2 separate regions of the Mus musculus genome follow, and region 2 is reported to be linked to region 1. Evidence: microRNA targets listed by miRTarBase, many of them from high-throughput screens and not tested one by one. Region 1 holds a microRNA gene; the other region holds the end of a gene's coding sequence.

The links. Region 1 holds the annotated microRNA mmu-miR-7054-5p (UAGGAAGGUGGUUGGGCUGAGUACU, at 2,603-2,627, opposite strand). A microRNA usually pairs through its seed, bases 2 to 8, with sites in the 3' UTR of a target mRNA and lowers its output. Matches are read on the target gene's strand: a 7mer-m8 pairs with bases 2 to 8, a 7mer-A1 pairs with bases 2 to 7 and ends in A, and an 8mer does both.
Region 2: miRTarBase lists Trim44 as a target of mmu-miR-7054-5p. Seed matches in the 3' UTR shown: 7mer-m8 at 3,712-3,718.

The regions. Positions count from the first base shown.
Region 1 is chr7:45,009,856-45,014,245 of GRCm38, forward strand. It overlaps Mir7054 (microRNA 7054), which reads right to left and starts at 2,632; the gene lies at 2,571-2,632. Scaf1 (SR-related CTD-associated factor 1) reads right to left here. Exons shown (of 11, transcript NM_001008422.1): 2 at 3,625-3,738; 3 at 3,362-3,419; 4 at 2,843-2,940; 5 at 2,470-2,570; 6 at 2,268-2,383. The coding sequence starts at 3,732.
Region 2 is chr2:102,300,620-102,305,009 of GRCm38, reverse strand. It overlaps Trim44 (tripartite motif-containing 44), which reads left to right. Exons shown (of 5, transcript NM_020267.2): 5 at 506-4,390. The coding sequence ends at 533. Among named protein-coding and RNA genes, the nearest start is that of Gm34268, 56 kb to the right of the region's middle.

The DNA.
Region 1 (4,390 bases):
GGAGCTCACTCGTCCTGAGGACAGGGTTCACACCCAGGGTTCACACCCTTCAGGGAGCTCACTCATCCTGAAGACAGGGTTCACACCCAGGGTTCACACCCTTCAGGGAGCTCACTCATCCTGAGGACAGGGTTCACACCCAGGGTTCACACCCTTCAGGGAGCTCACTGGTCCTGAGGACAGGGTTCACACCCAGAGCCCAGAGGGCACCCATGACCAACTCCCCACTCCTGCTCCTTTCTTATTTCAACCCAGGACACACTAGAGTCTGGAAGCACAGGGTGACATGTGACTCTGGTACAGAGGAAGGTCATGAGCGATCACCGTGTTCCTTTTCCTGTGCTCTTAATATCTTCCAAAACAAAACAAACAAAAACTAAAAAACAAACAAGCAAGCCGAGTGTGGTGGCGCACGCCTTTAATCTCGAACCAAAGAGGCAGAGGCAGGCAGATCTCTGTAAGTACAAGGCCAGTCTTGTCTACAATGAGTTCCATGACAGCCAGGGCTACAAAGAGAAACACTGTCTTGAAAAAGACAAACAAACAGAAATGCTGAGGTGGGCATTCCAGCATACATGGGAGGAAGACCAGGAGTTTTAAGGCTAGAGTGAGCTACAAAGCAAGATCCATCTCTCAAAAACAAAACGGACTAAGGATGTAGCTCAGTGGCTCTAGGTGTGAGGCCCCACGTTCAATGCCAGACACACACACACATAGAGAGATAGGAGGAAAGGGCCAGCAACAAGATGTCACAGTGAATAAAGGCAGCTGTCACCAAATCTAAAGACCCGACTTAGATCCCTGGGACCCACTTGGCAGAGGAAAACAAACTCCTGAAAGCTGACCTATTTGTCCAGCCACAAATGTAATTTAAAAACAAACAATAACAACAAAAAACCCCAATCACACAACGGCCTTGTCAGTTCAGTTTAGAAACTAAGAAAAACCCTGAGCAAGACAAAACCACAGTGCTAAGTGTCAGGGAGGCACAGCGACAGCCTAAGCAATGCCACTCTCTGTTCCCAAGCTTGTCTTTAAAATATCACCACAAAGGGTGGTGGTCAAGTCTGTAATCTCAGCACAAGGAAGGGCAACGCAGGACTGTCCCAAGTTCCAGGCCAGTCTAGGCAACAGGACAAGACCCTGCCTCAAAAAAAAAAAAAAAAAAAAAAAGTCACCAACAAAACCACACCGTAATTTCAGAGTCCCATGAGAATGACTGGCCATTTGTCTGTGTGCACAGGTTCTATTGGAACATTTATCCTCTGCTACCTTGTGGGTTGGTTTTTGGAGTCAGGCTCTCCTGGTGTTGCCCACATTAGTCTTTTTTTTTTTTTTTTTTTTTTTTTTTTTCCGAGACAGGGTTTCTCTGTGTAGCCCTGGCTGTCATGGAACTCACTCTGTAGACCAGGCTGGCCTCGAACTCAGAAATCCGCCTGCCTCTGCCTCCCAAGTGCTGGGATTAAAGGCGTGCGCCACCACCGCCCGGCCCACATTAGTCTTGAACTTAGGGAGAGGATCCACAGTTCCTCTTCAGCCTACCAGTTATCTGAGATGCACAGTCAAGGATACACTCATAGTTCCTCCAGTCAGCCTCAAGGTAGGTCATGGAAGTTGGGTACCATGTCCTCTGAGCCCAACTCACAACTGAGAAGGGACAATGTGACTGTGGCCTGCCTCAGTGGAGTCACAAGCCATGTTCTTCCAGGCACTGGGACTGATGGCTGCCAAAGACTAACTGTACACAAGCCCTTCCCTCCACTCCACTTCTAAAGACATGCAGAGAGGGAGGTTAACGTGTTGGGGCGTCGAGTCAGAGCTGACGCTGGGTGTCCTGGGAGCTTCAGCTAGATGGCCAGCTCATGTGCCCAGAACCAAACGCCTGCCTTTCCACTCAGACTCAAGCTGGGCACCAGGCTCACCAATGGAGCTAGCGAGGAGCCGCCTCCTAAGAGATGACTCCCCAACTCAAAGACACGCAAGTCCACTCTGACAGCTGCTGGCCAGCATGCTCGATGCTCCTATGTGCCCCCTCCCTTTTGCTCTACGAGTGTATGAACTAATTTGTAACTAATATAAGCATCCTTCCTACCTTCACTACAAACAGCGTAAGTGATGCTAGCAGCTTAGCTTGGTGGCAGAATGCCTGCTGAACATATGTGAGGTCCCCAAAGTCCAGTACCCAGCATCATACATTAATACCTAAATACAGTTGACTTTCACACAATTTCAAGACCACCCACCCAACACAGTGCAGGCCAACATACCTGTCTTTCCTGTCCTCCAGGCCCTGAGGCGGGGAAACAGGCTGGGCACAGGTAGAGGCATGGGGTCCCTGTCACCGATGCGGACCTCAGCCACCAGCTCTAGCATGTCCTCACTTCTGCAAGGCAGAGGAAATGGTGAGCCCTAGCAGTGCCATAGCTCTCAGGATAGGGTCACCCCACCTTCAGCTGTCCAGGTTCTTACTCGCCAGGCTGAAGGTCCAGGCGGCTGGGAACCCAGGTGTCCGGGGGATCCAGGATGCTCACCAGCTCCACAAGGAAGCTATCTGCAGCTGTGTCCAATACCTGGAAGGGGCCAAGTTGGACTCTGTTCTGTGAGTACTCAGCCCAACCACCTTCCTAGTTCCAGCCTCTCAGGACCCACCAATCTGCCACAAGAACCTTCTGGAATCCAACCAACCTTATCTCACTGGTCTCTAGGAGCCAGCTTAGTCAGGGATCTGGTCCCCAGACTCCTGTCACTGCCCACCAGAGTCACACCAGACCCAGCAGTTTAGATCCCCAGTTCCTCTGTCTTGCAGGCCCCAGGGTGAAGGCTGGTGGACACTCTTACTCACAGTGGCCGTGTCAGCAGCCCCTGACTCCTGTGAACGAGGCTCTGACCGAGGACTCCGGCAGCAGCGCCTCCATCGTAGGCCACGACACCGAGCGCCATCTGGATAGACATTGAAGTAAGCTGGGATTCCATGTTGGGCTTTGCAAAGCACAGGAAGCAGGTCAAGACGTAGCGTTTGCTGAGGGAGCACCTGCCACCTCCCAGTTTCTGCAGCACCCTGGGCTCCCCCAACTCAATCTGGGATGGGCTCACCAAAGGGCATGTCTCTGCTTGGCCTGTGAACCCTGCCCAGTCCTGGCTAAATGTCTCCTGCCTCCCAAGTGACCTACTACCCTGATCACCTCTAGTCAGCCCAAAAGCCACACTGGGTTCCCTGCCAACTAGGCCTTCCTCTAGACAAACCCAGTACCCTGGACACTGATGACGCTAGCACAAGAGAAGCACCCAGGACACCTCAGAAAGAAGAAAGATAAGAGCCCAGAGGAAGGCAGAAGCCTAAGAGGACGAGTGGGCCTCATACCTTTATCATTAGGCAGGTCTCCCTGAAGGGAGCTTCCCACAGCCTGCTGAATGGCCCGCTGCAAAAGGGGAAAAAACAAAAATCAGGGCCAAGACCTCTCTAACTTCTGCTGTTTGGAAAGCACATTCCAGGCACCCGGCAGCCAGAGTCCACAAAGAACCCCAATTCTTCCTGAAGGCCTGGTTCAGGGCCTGAACCCCCAGCCCATACTTCAGAGCATGAGAACCTAGGCCTCCAGGCCTCACTGCACCCAGCTTTCTTACCAAAATAAAGGCAGAAGGAGAAAGGGCAGGATCTCTGTCAGGTGGACCGTCTCCCCGATCCTCTCCCGACTCCTCTGTTTTACCTCGAGACTCATCTTCCTCCTCCATGGTCACCTGGGGTTGAGGCAACAGTTTGAAGTGAAGGCTGAGGGAGGCAGGTCAGAGGTGAAGGAAGACCTCAAGGGCCCCCAGTGCATCCTGCTTTAGTGTCCCTCTCTTCCGCCTCATTCCTGATGACCTTGTCCGTGGTCCCACGCTGACCTGCAGGGACTAGAGCCATTCTTATCCTTCTTCTGGATTTCGGCTGCCTCCCCATCAATGGGAGGACCGCTCAGCCACCTGCTCCAACACCTGGCCCTCCACTGCCCACAGCTTCCCAATGCTCCTAGGCAAACCTCCAATTAATTACCCAACCCAGTCAAATAGATGCAAACTCAACCCTGACTTCGGGTGTCATGATTTTAAGAGCGTCGTGCTTCAGTCTCAGAAAGCCACCTTCCCCACAGCGGGGAATGTGCCGACATGCTCAGGGGTACTCTGTAACAGGTACCGTAGGTTCACACAGCATTCATTATCCTCCATGATGAGGAGCCCAAGAGCTTTATTTACAGCCACGAGATACAACTATGATAGTATGATCTACATAACCACCACACCGCTTTTAAAACAAAAATGCCAAGTTTCAGAAAGGCATGCTGTCCTCCCAGCCCCATTGGGACACTTGCCTATCACCCAGCTGCCTGTCCTGTGGAAGCATGGCCAAAGC
Region 2 (4,390 bases), not on the chromosome of region 1:
GAGGTAGAGCACTTCCTAGAGACTGACTACAGCGTGGATGAGACCTTGGCTCTGCCCAAGGCAAAGTGCAATTGATTGATTGCTGCTGATGCTGCTGATGATTGGTTTTCTGATCTAATAATAGATGTCTTAACACCTAGAGGAAATAAAACTGGTTTCTACCAGCAGTTTATTTTGTTAATTAAAATTTTAAAATTCAGTCTGACAATCTTCCTGCTCTTTTACTTACTGGTTGTATACTGGGCATTGTGTATTTTACACGTGTTCTTAATTGATTCTCCCAGAACCCAAGATAGTAAGTCCTTTTTTTTTTTTTTTTTTTTTTTTTGTAAATTTTCATGACAACGGTAGTTAAATTTAGAAATCAGAAATCAAAGCAACTAAGACACTTTGCTGTGGGCCTACTGCTCAGTCATGATAGAAGCAGCACAAAGCTGTCAACCTGTACTGCGTTGCCTCCTTTCTGTGACGTTTGAACTCACTTGCTTCTCCTTTTCCTTTGTAGCGGTGCCAGTGAAGAAGAGGACACATGAAGACTTAGCATTCCCTGCAGAAAACGCCCCTTCCCCGTGTGTGTGTGACAGCGTGTATGTAATGGCTTCTGATATCTGTGAAAGCTGCCAGGCAACAAACTTCTTCTACTGGAAATGTCCCCAGATCCACAGCAGGCACACATGTTCCCAAGGGACCAGGGGTTGTATGCATTCTGACTGTGTGCTTCTTGTTCTCTGTGGTAGGTCATGGGAAGAGCCCTTTTGATCAACTTGGAGGGCTCTTCAGCTAACCCCCCAATGGCTGCTTTGAACTTACTCAGGAAAGCCAGCCCCTGGAATATTGTGCAAGTCAACACTATCACTTCCTTAGGAAGGTTCTAGAACATCTCGAAAGGATATCAGTTTTCCTTACCTGCAAACAGAAAACAAACCCACTTTGTTTGTACTGAAGCTTAAAGCAAATGTGGCCAAGTGGGGCCAAACTGACTCAATAGGCAGTCTGTCATAGTCCAGTTCTGCCTCTGTGAAAAGTGTTAGGGCAACTGGGTTAAAATAGGGTTGGAGAAAGAGTCCAGAGCTAGAAAGAAGATATTTTTAGTATGTGAGGTTATCTAGGACTTAAGTTTCATAATTCAGTGCTGTGGAAATGGGAAAATGATTGAAAAGGTAGAAAGGAAATGACCTTAAGGACTGGGGTGAGGCACAGAAATCTGATTAAAGGTTGAAATCAGTGTTTCAGAATTCAGATTGCCTCAATTTTCCAAAATGGTCACTAAAGCATCTGATAAAACCCAGAATTCTTCGGCCAGCTGTGTGGATTAACAGGCCTGTCACAACATAAAAGGCTGGCATGTATATTGGCAGGTGGAGATTGTCACTGTAAAACTTAGCAGTTTCACTCCGAGGTTAGTCTATGGTGGTCAGTGCACTGTGAGGGGAATCCTTGTCCCTCCCTGGCAGCTAGCAAACATTCCTCTATTTACTATAATTGGAATCCTCCCTTCCCCTGCAGCAGGCCGTCAGCTCACCTCACACAGCCCAGTTTTCTCTTCATGTAGCATGTCCAGGCATGCTCCAGAGCTGGGTTTCCTGGCCTTCCCACACTCCCAGATCACAGTCTCTTACAACCATGCTTTTCAGGATCCAGGAAGTAGTAAGTGTGCTGGGAGATACCCAACTAACTGCAAGCTCACAAGCACCACATCTTCTTGAGACATCAGTTTTTCTTTCCAAATGATTTGAAGTCAAGAGATGACCATATTTTTTAATGGAACAAATGCTTATGTTATACAAGAGAATGTTCATACACCTAAAGTGCTAAACTAAAATAGGAAACTTGGAAGGAAACTCATATTTGTAAGTGGACAGTGATTCTATCTCCTCTGCTTGTGTGGTATTTCCATGTTCACTTTGAGATTTTGTCTGAACTGGATTCAGGCAGCCTTGGGGTTGCTGTTGATCAAGGTCTAGACTTCCAGATCCAAGGAGTCCACCTTGGAGTAGTACATCTCCCTTTTCCTGTCAGCCAGCTTGCCTGTGTACTTATCACAAAGCTTTAGGGGCAGCTAACATGTGTATGTACAGGATAGTTCTGAGGCAGAAACAGCATAGACTTATTGTAGGAGTCCTATTTATGTCATTGTTCAGCCCTGTGCATGCTAGAAAATGATTTATCCCTTTGAGGCCAGGAAACTGCCAAGCCACTCTGCTGTAGGCTAGGATTACTGAAACTCACCACACATACAAGGATATTGGGGCAGAGCGGAGTGTGAGATCTAAAAATATGTATACTTTCCCCAGCTGGTGGCTAGTAGATGGCTTAGACAATTTTGGTGTCTTACCATCTGTCTGCAAAGACTGGAGAATTTAATACATCTTGAGTTGACAACCTCCAGTGATATCCTGTTCTGCCAAAATTTTAAAAGAAGGGCCACTGTAGAAAGAGTGTAAACTATCACAAGATTGAAAAGACTTGACAGTTTGGAAGCTTGTCTTGTCTTTCTCAGTAATCATTGATCTTTACATGTTGACCTTATATTAGCAATGAACAGATCATTGCCTCTCCACCCAATCATGCTATTTCTTTAAATCAGTATTTGGGGAATGCAAGCATTTATGCAGTGGTTATAAACAGAAATATAAGATTTGCCAACCTGTCTCTTTAAATTACCATCTCTCTGAAATCCTCAAGGAAAGCATTTTCCCTTTACTTAGTAAGGGTTTCAGATTCACTTTATGGGCTCCTGCTGTCTTCAACACTGATAAAACTTTAACCAGAAAAGCATTAAACACAGCACAGCAGCCCCTAGCCCAGATCCCTAAGTTCCTAGTGGCAGCATTTATCAATGTAAGAACAAGAATACTTTCTGTACTGGTATCAGCTTCGTCCTCAAAGCTATGACCTCTTACTTGGCCTTGTGCCCCATAGTGAACGAAGCTTCTTGCCTTTCCAGGTCAGTGTGAGTTAAGATTGTCAGAGTTGTATGTGTCCTGACAGACTGTGGACAGCAGGGTTTGCCCAAATCATCAAGTGATACAGGTAATGAATGTCTCTAAAATAAGTTGGGTCCTCCAAACAAGTCCTGGATACCTTCTGAATGTTAAGTTTCTGAGTGCTGAGAGTAATTTGTTCATTGGTTTGGTTTGATACCGTTATATCTATCTAGGGCAGTTCCAAGAAGTGCTTGACTTCTCAGCTCTAACAGCCAGTAAGAGTAAGTAACCTTAGTACAGGCAATGAGCCTCTGTAGATGTGCAGAGGACAAGTCACTTGTCTGTAGTTGCTAACAAACAATGGAACCAGTTTTGAGCACAGCACTCCCTGCTCTGCAGTCAGCCCTCTGCCCCACACCATGACTCACCTACAGATTGAGAGAGAGAAAGGCTTTCAGTTCCCCCAGTGTAGTATGCCCATTCACACTCGGAATTCTTTTTCAAAGACATCAAGATGGCCTTAGTACTCTGCTCTAGTAGATGTTGTAAGTATTCATTGTTCCTTCCAGGAGCTGGATTTTTGGTACAGTCCCCACAAAGGAAAATAAAGGCCTTCAAGAGTGTAAAGTTTTTAGACAGAGTTGGAGGTAATGGTAGTCTTCTAACATTATCTAAATATCTCCTGCTTCATTACTATAGAAAGCAACTCTTCATGTTTTAGGAAACCCAGCTACCATGTTTGTACTCTGAGAAGGTGCCAATACAAATCACTAATTTTGGACTCCCTTCCTGGAGTGTGTGTGTGTGTGTGTGTGTGTGTGTGTGTGTGTGTGTGTGTGTGTGTGTGTGTAAATGAGAATGAGATTTGTACACACCCACATATTCTATACCACTTAATTAAGAGTTAAGTGAAGTTCAAAGCAGCCCCTGGTGATCTTACTTAACACCACAAAGTTTTCTACTAGGTCCATGAAAGTATAAACAGATAATTGGAGTGTGACTGCTGGCTTTCCAGAATAACCCACTTGTGGTAGATGTCAACTCTTACAGCTCCAAGCCAAGGTGACGACAACCCAGCCCTCTTCCACCATGTCTAATAACATGGGACATGGTAGATGCCTTGTCATTTGGTGACCTGGATCTGGGCCCGAGTTTAGAGCTGCAGAATTTATAACCTTGTAGTAGTCAGTGGTCTAAGAAGTCCTCTCTCCCCACAGAGAAAATGTCTTGCTGATTCCTGATATTCTACTCTCATAAGCTGTTCAGTACACACTTCTCAGTCAATTGGTTGCTTGTTTACTATGTGCTGAGCACATCTAGATTTTTTGTTTGTTTAAAGTTAAAAGTCCCATTATAAATCAAGTCTAACCCTGCCCTAAGAGAAAAGACCCACAGAGACTGCACATCTCACTGACGCTGCCTTCACCCATTAGTGTTTGAGGCCCACCATCCTATGGAGCCAG